Oryzias latipes: one gene and its partner. The protein of the gene in region 1 binds, or shares a complex with, the protein of each later gene. Links are inferred from orthologs where the notes say so. Each region holds a gene or a part of one and is shown on either strand. Other genes may lie near its edges.

Evidence for each region.
Region 2: the proteins of delta-type opioid receptor (region 1) and pomc are in contact, whole or in part, in a cryo-EM structure (PDB 8F7Q), measured with the Homo sapiens proteins. The link is inferred for Oryzias latipes from reciprocal best matches to the Homo sapiens genes OPRM1 and POMC. Residues at the interface, in NP_000905.3 of Homo sapiens: Ser66, Met67, Ala70, Ile71, Met74, Gln126, Asn129, Tyr130, Leu131, Met132, Gly133, Trp135, Val145, Ile146, Asp149, Tyr150, Met153, Arg213, Ile217, Asp218, Cys219, Thr220, Glu231, Lys235, Val238, Ile298, Val302, Lys305, Trp320, Ile324; in NP_000930.1 of Homo sapiens: Tyr237, Gly238, Gly239, Phe240, Met241, Thr242, Ser243, Glu244, Lys245, Thr248, Pro249, Leu250, Val251, Leu253.

The regions. Positions count from the first base shown.
Region 1 is NC_019873.2:17,195,444-17,199,265, reverse strand, and holds part of delta-type opioid receptor, read right to left. Parts: intron 647-3,822; coding exon 297-646; intron 1-296. UniProt on the Homo sapiens protein: Receptor for endogenous opioids such as beta-endorphin and endomorphin. Receptor for natural and synthetic opioids including morphine, heroin, DAMGO, fentanyl, etorphine, buprenorphin and methadone.
Region 2 is NC_019860.2:10,968,058-10,972,339, forward strand, and holds pomc (pro-opiomelanocortin), read left to right. Parts: upstream 1-1,702; 5' UTR 1,703-1,823; intron 1,824-2,576; 5' UTR 2,577-2,579; coding exon 2,580-2,696; intron 2,697-3,030; coding exon 3,031-3,552; 3' UTR 3,553-3,687; downstream 3,688-4,282.

The DNA of each region.
Region 1 (3,822 bases):
TTCTATATTCAAAGGAAAAGAAACAAATCCTTTTTTTATCGTTTAAAAGCTGTTTTTACACATGCACTGACAGTTGGTTATTACTTAGATATGGCTATTATTCACTATTTGAGTATTAAATAGATTTTAAGAGAGATTTCTTTTTTTTTTCTATAAAAATTTTCACTTCTGAGAAGATCTGCCTTGTATTCTGACTGCTTGTGCAGACCTGTGCTTTTCAGAAACAGAGTATTTTAAACATAAAGACACACAAAGCTGTGGTCTCGGTTCCACAGTGCGGGTGGGCTCGTGCTTACGGCTTTTGGCTGTAGCAGCCATGAACATGACCGGCAGACCGATGGCGGAGGACAGAATCCAGTTGCAGATGTTGACAATCTTGGCATTGCGAGGCGTCCTGAAGTCCAGCGCTTTCACAGGGTGGCAAACAGCGATGTAGCGGTCGATGCTCATGGTTGTGAGGGTGAAGATGGAGGTGAACATGTTGTAGTAGTCGATGGACATCACCATCTTGCAGAGCAGGTCCCCAAATGGCCAAGACCCCATCAGGTAGTTGACGCTCTGGAACGGCAGGGTGCTGGTGACCAAGGCATCTGCCAGAGCGAGGTTGAAGATGTAGATGTTTGTGGCTGTCTTCATTTTGGTGTACCTGTAGCAGAGAGCAGCATAGAATTTTTATAGACAGCAGAGCTTAAAAAGGCTGTTTTGGGCTCAGTTATACATTTAATCACCTTTTTCATTTAAGTTTCTTCAAAAAAGTATATAAAAACAGAATGTATATCGACCAATCACCGTGTCCCTGTAACTGAGTTGTAACAACAAGACCAATGATTGGCTGGTCGAAATGCATCTTGGGTATGCGTGATCCATGAAGGAATTTATCGCTTTTGCGGCCGAACGGAGAGCATATCGGTGTTTATGAATGACTTATGATGTGAATAATTATTGTATTTGCACGGATTAATTATTTCGAGGGAACGGAATATTATCTTGTGGAACGGAATATTATTTCGTGCAAACAAGATATTAATCTGTGGGAACGAGATATATTTTAATTTTTTAATGTCAGGACACGGGCTCCATTATACTTATATTTATATATATATATATATATATATATATATATATATATATATATATATATATATATAAATATATAAAATGCTTTTTGCACATTATAGACCTAAATGACAAAGAAAACAAGCAGTTTAAAAAAAAAAAAAAAAAAACTTGTGATCTTTTGGGGCTCAGTAGAGGTTGGAACGCTAGATTTAGTCCGTTTGTGGTTCAGCGAGGGAACACATATCCCATTTGTTGAACATACTGAGCAAATTCTGTTAAACTTTTCAGTTTCACCATTTCTGTATCTAAATTCAGATGTTACCGTCACCTGATCAACACCTCAGAAAAAACACACACACCATAACATGTTTCACCTTTGTATTTTCTGATAAACACCAGTGTTATGATGCTTTCCTGTGATTGTGGTAAAAGGCTTTTTTATACCACAATCACAGTTACGGTAACGCTTTATGATAAGAGTCCTTAATAAACTATTAACAAGCACTAGTAATGTTTTAGTAAGCTGCTTATAAGAACATTAATTAGCATTTGTAAATGTCTTACAACTGACTTACAAGTTTAAATAAGCTGTTTATAAATACATTAAAATATTCCTTAATAAACTACTTATAAGACATTAAGCAGTATGAGTAATGTGGTATTAGGCTGCTTATAAAGACATTTATTAGCATTTGTTAATCTTATTCACAAGCTATTTATAAATTGCTTGTATGGGATTAATAAATATATTAACAGTGTTCTTATTAACAGTTTATTGAGTGTTTTGCAGCCCCCCCCAATCTAAAGCGTAACCAAATATGGGGGGGGGGGTCTTTACAAGCCATTTATAAATTGCTATAAATAAATGTACCCAGCTAAAATGTTTATTCAAAATAGATTTAGATTAAACATTGACCAGTTAAATCAGGCAATATAAAATATCTAGGTATTTATTTTTCCCCCAAAATATCAGAACTGGTACTGCTAAACTACACCCCATTACTGAAAAACAAACAGGACGATCTAACACGCTGGACCAACCTGCCTTTGTCCCTTATGGGCAAGGTAGCCACGGTTAAAATGAAAATCTTACCCAAAGTTAATTATCTCTTCTCAATGATTCCCACACAACCGCCACTAAAATGGTTCAAAACATTAGACTCATCCATATCAAGCTTTCTATGGAACAATAAACCTGCAAGAATTAGTTTAAAAACTTTAAAATCTGCAAAAAGCTGTGGAGGATTAGAATTACCTAACTTCCACAATTACTTTCTTGCAAATAGATTACAATACATCTTAAAATGGTTAAAAAATAATCCAGAAACCAACTCATGGTTAGACTTGGAACAGGCGTTATGTGGAAAGATCAACCTGTCAGATCTTCCATTTATTAGTCAAATAGTTAAAAAACAGGATTGTTTCAAAAGTATTAATATAAATGCCACTTTAACAGCCTGGTGGGAATTTCTCAAAATATCAAAATCATCAATTCAACCGTGCAAAATGACACCCATCTGGAACAACCCAGACATCCTCATAAACAAAAAAATTATCCACTTCCCAGCTTGGCAAGCAGGGGGCATAAAACAACTAGAGCACATAATTATTGATAGAAGATTCATAACTCCCCAGGAACTTCAAGACAAACATGGAATATATAACTTCTTGGAATATCAGCAACTTAAATCAATTATTACTAAAAAGTTTAAATACAGAGACAACGATTTAAAGCTACCAGATGTAGTTACCACTCTGATCAATTTCTCAATGAATAAAACTCTCTCCAAAATATACAAACTTTTATGTAATTTAGATAACAATATTTCACTTCCGACAACAAAATGGGATGCGGATTTGAGCATCAGCACAGATGAAAGTTTTTGGTCAGAACTTTGTCTAAACACCTTTAAAATGACAAAAAATCCAAATCTGCAGCTAATCCATTTCAAAACTCTTCACAGAATTTACTACACTGGACAGAGGATGTTCAAGATGTGTCTCAGTAACTCAGACATTTGTCAGCACTGTGACAGTAATCTACCCGACAATTACATGCATGCACTATGGTTCTGCACGCCTGTCCAGGCTCTCTGGCAGCAGGTATGTGCCGATCTATCAGTCTGGCTTAAGGTTTCAATCACAGCTTCACCGTCACTTTGTGTGCTTGGTGACATGAGTGCCATCGATGTAGAAGGAGGATTAGGCTCTATCATTTTCATAACTCTTTGCATTGCTAAAAAAACTATTTTAATAAATTGGAAAAGCAAAAAAAATATAAATATAAGTCAACACAGAAATCTGCTGCTTGATCATATCAGCTTGGAAAAAATGTCAGCCCAAAGTTCAAGTAACTTGGAAAGAATTCGGTCTCTCTGGTCTCCCATAGCTAACTCCGTGACTTAGGGGGTGGGGGGGGCATGGTCGTCGCTGCTCCTTGCCCTTCTGCCGTGGGCCGGGGTGGGGGTCGGGGCCTCCGGTGCCTGGCCGGGGGTGGTGGGGGCTCCGTTGGTCGGGGGGTCGGGTCCGGCGCCTGGGTGGGGCGGCCTGGGGCGCTGCGTGGTCCTCTGGGCTTGGGTGTGGGGGTGCGTGGTGGGGGGGTGGGGTGGTGGTCTGGCTTGGCTTGGGGGGGTGGTCCCTTTGCCTGTGCTGGGGGGGGTTGGCGGGGGGCGCTGCTCGGGGGGGGGGCCCAGCGGCGCTGGATGGGCTTCCCGTCTACACCTGGGGCTGGGATCGGCCCTTCCCTGGCTCTGGGGCGGGACG
Region 2 (4,282 bases), on another chromosome or scaffold:
GGTGGGTTTAGCCAATAAGGTTCAATGGCAGGTTGATTGGAAAACATGTAGGACACCGGCCCTTGAGTCCTGGATTGGGGCACCCCTGCAACCCCTGAGGTGAGAGCATGGCTGCTTTCACCCCAGCATTTCCTTTCACGCTTGCTGACCCTGTTTTCTCACACATCATATCTGAAACCTTCCCCTTCAATAGTTCCACCCTGCTTGCACACGCCTCTTTAGCCTTTCCTCAACGGAAGTTGCTCTAACTGTTGTTCCTAAGTCTTTAAAGCCCTCCACCTTCTCCACCTCTTGAGTTCCTGTCATTTACACACAGATGCTGCAGCTGACCTCTCTAGATGGTTCTCCACCTGCTTTCTTTTTTTTATTTCTTTCTTTTTTTTTATTTGTCCTGTCCTGGGATTAGGAATCTTCTGACAATAAAATCAACAAATCTAAAAGGGGCGGGCGGGGAGGAGTGAATTTCTAATAAACTCTTGCTGCTCTGCATAATCGATGTCTTAAAAATGACAGATTTTTAGATTTTGCCTAAAAACACCATCATTTTAATTGAAAGACCACAGGGAACGCTTTTATAATAGATCCAAAGATGATCATCCATCCATCCAACCATTTCCTCAACCTGCCTCATTCCTTTTGGGGTCACAGCGTTGCTGGAAACTGTCTCAGGTACTGTTGGATGAAGGCGGGGTACACCTTGGACAGGGTGCCTGTCTGTCGCACTCACACTCACACACCTAGAGACCTAGGGACACTTTAGAGTAACCAATCAATCTATAAAGCATGTGTTTGGAGTCTGGAGTGCCCAGAGATTGATCCATCTTTTCAATATTTTTTCAAACATTCAGGACCACTTTACAAAATTTATCTAAATGTGACTTTCTCAGTTGAATGAAGATTAAATAAAAATATCCTTCTGCAGCCATGTCCATGGACGTTGGCTACAGTGCTGCTGACCTTAAACTCACAGTATATTTAATAAGCTTAAGTAACAGGAACATCAAGCTGTTTGGAGATGATCTGTTTTATTAACAGAAGGGGAGCAGCCATGCATCTACATGTTTTTCACTGATTATAAGGAGCTGTGGGAAGCGTGTCCTGGATGGAAAATGTGGCTGCTCTTCATCAGCTGCTCCATGAAATCAGATGAACTCTCCACTGATTCAGCATTAGGGCCACCCGGACCCTGGACAAAGAGATGCCGCTCAGCGCAGCTTTGTGGGTGTGTGACTGTACACCCTGACCCGCGACTTTGACGAAATCCCACCTGGGTGTTAAGCTGCAGAAGCTGCTGCCTGACATTTCACAGACAACAGCAGCGGCGAGGCGCTTTCACGCAGATTTAAACTGATGAGTTTTAGCTGCTGTAGCTTAGATGTGTTTGTTTTCTGTTCCATTTGTGCTTTTTACAATTAAAAGTGACCAAAAAATCTGTGATGTTAAAGACAAACATAAATTCTGAAAACATTTGTTTTGTCTAAAAATCGAGAAAACAAAATAGAAAAAAAAAATGAAGGCAGGTCTTCATGTGTGTGTGCTTGTATCCGTGTGTGTGCAGTGAATGGACGAGGGTGGATCTGGGACATTTTTTATTGATTTTTTGTGTGCGTTTTTGACCGCAAACCCATGCACACGTCATCTGTGTATGCGTGTGTGTGTTCACGCATGTGTGTGCGTCCTTGGTCAGCAGAATATAAAAGTCCAACTCTGCTCGAAGCATCAGAGCAGAAGAGGATCAAGGGAAATCTTCATCCGGCGGCTAAACAAAACAGAAAGCAGCAGCAATAAGAGGAAGAGGAGAGACAAAGAAACTATAAGGAGGGGTGAGAATATTTTATTGTACTTTATAATGAAAATGTAAAAAAAAGTTGTATTTTTAAAGTTTTACAGCCTTTTTACTTCACTTAATTACTAAATTACTAATAATTTTTAACTAACAGTTTCTAAATCAGAGCAGATTTTAAAAAAAAAATTAAGACCAGTGTTAAATATTCGAGGTTAAGAAAACAAAGTGCTTAATATATGAAACTTAAATAAATATTTTATTTTTATTTGTTAATTCTCCAATCTGATCTCCAAAATACATATATTAATACAATAATTTTGCATCATCTAATAATATTATTAAGGTAAAATGGTGAAATGTAAATTTCTTAACATGCTTGTTTTAGGTCTTTTAAAAAGTTTAAATATTTGATTTTAGATATACTTTTCTTAATTTTTGTGACAACGTGTAACCTTTGTGATTGAATAAATAAAAAAAAGGTTAAAAAAATGATATAACCGGTGCCAAAACAAGGTGCTAAAATAATATATCAATGTTTTGATTTTGTTTTTATTCAGTCAGATTTGTGGCCACCACTGTTTTTTTAACATATATTAAAAACAAAGATGTGTTTTTTTTCTTGTCAAATTACTTCCAAAACCTGTGGTTTTTACTTAAAAAATGAAATGTAAACAATAAAAGAAGAGTATAATTGAAAAAAAAATTAACCCCAAAAGATAACTAATCTACATAAAAATTGATTTTAAAACTCCAAAACTGAGTGGGATTGTGTTTTTTTTTTGCTTCACAGAGGATGTATACCGTTTGGTTGCTGGTGGCCGTGGTGGTTGTCGGTGGGGCTGAAGGAGCAGTCGGCCAATGCTGGAAGCACTCCAGCTGCCAGGAGCTGGACTCTGAGAGCAGCATGACGGTACAGAAGACGGTCAAAGCAACAATAAGCAGAATCTGCATTTCCTGATCATTTTCATCCACAGTTCAGCTGTTTTGTTGCTTCAAATGGAGTCAAAACAGAATTTTTTGACTCGACTTCTCTGTTGGTTAATTCTTCCTACATTTACCAATAATTCAGATTTAAGGGGTTTGAGAATCTGTAAAATAAAGTGCAAATTTTGACCCAAAAATAGGTTTTTCTTTAGGAAAATGTGATAAGCACTTTAAACTCAACATCCACATCTCCCATTACAAAAACACATCTGCTGTTTTAACACCTTCAGTTGACTGTCAATCTCATCTTTTTACTCCAGGAGTGCCTCCAGCTCTGCCGCTCTGACCTCACCGCCGAGACCCCCCTCATCCCAGGCAGCTCCCACCTCCAGCCTCCACCTCCCTCAGATCCCTTCTCTTTCATCTCTCCATCCCCTCAAACCAAACGCTCCTACTCCATGGAGCACTTCCGATGGGGCAAGCCCGTCGGGCGCAAACGTCGCCCCGTCAAGGTCTACACCCCAAACGGAGTGGAGGAGGAGTCCTCTGAGGTTTTCCCAGGTGAGATGAGGAGGCGGGAGTTGGCCAATGAGCTGCTGGCGGCTGCAGCGGAGGAGGAGGAGAGGGCTATGGAGGAGGTGGAGGAGGAGGAGGAGCGTCAGCATCTCCTGGCTGGCCTGCAGGAGAAGAAGGATGGCTCCTACAAGATGAAGCATTTCCGCTGGAGCGGCCCTCCCGCCAGTAAACGCTATGGCGGCTTCATGAAGAGCTGGGAGGAGGATCGCCAGAAACCACTGGTGACGCTCTTCAAGAACATCATCAACAAGGACGAGCAGCAGTGAGATTCCAGAAAAAAAGAAAAGAAAAAGGAGAAGTCAAAACACAAAAGGGGGGGGGGGATTTGCCATAAATAATCAGCAGGCAGCAAAGAGTTCTCATTGGTTCTTTTGTTCCCAATAAAAGACTCTGAAACTGCAGTGTTTTGGCGACAGAATTGTGAGGATTTTTACTGTGTTGTAAATAATAATATTCTTTAAATGAAAAGAGATTTATTTGCAAGCAATGACGAACGGTGTTTGTCTTTTTCTCTACATCCGACATCAGCTTAAAGTCCCACTCCAATCATCCTATGATCTATGTTAAAGCAGTGGTCTTTAAACTATGATTATGATTTTTTTCCAGTAAAATCTCTAAAATCTGGGCCGTTTACCAAGACAGAGTTTCTGCAGAAGCTCATCAGAAATTGACCTCTGAGTTGTGGGTGGGGCCATTGGCATGGAGTAAGCTCTACCACACTCCCCGTCATCCTTCTTGTTTACACTCTCTCCCACTAGCTTACAGCCCCTCACAACCCCAACCTAACATTTGCGGTGCAGTTTTGAGCCAGATGCCAGCTTGGAAGAAGAAGCAAAAATGTACTATATTTCCCGCACTAAACGGGGGCACCAGATCATAAGGTGCACCCTATAGCACATTCTTAAACTCACACTATATCGAGAAAGTATTGGCTCACCCACTTTGACTCGCACATGAACGGAAATGGCATCCCTATCCTAACCCATAGTTCAATAT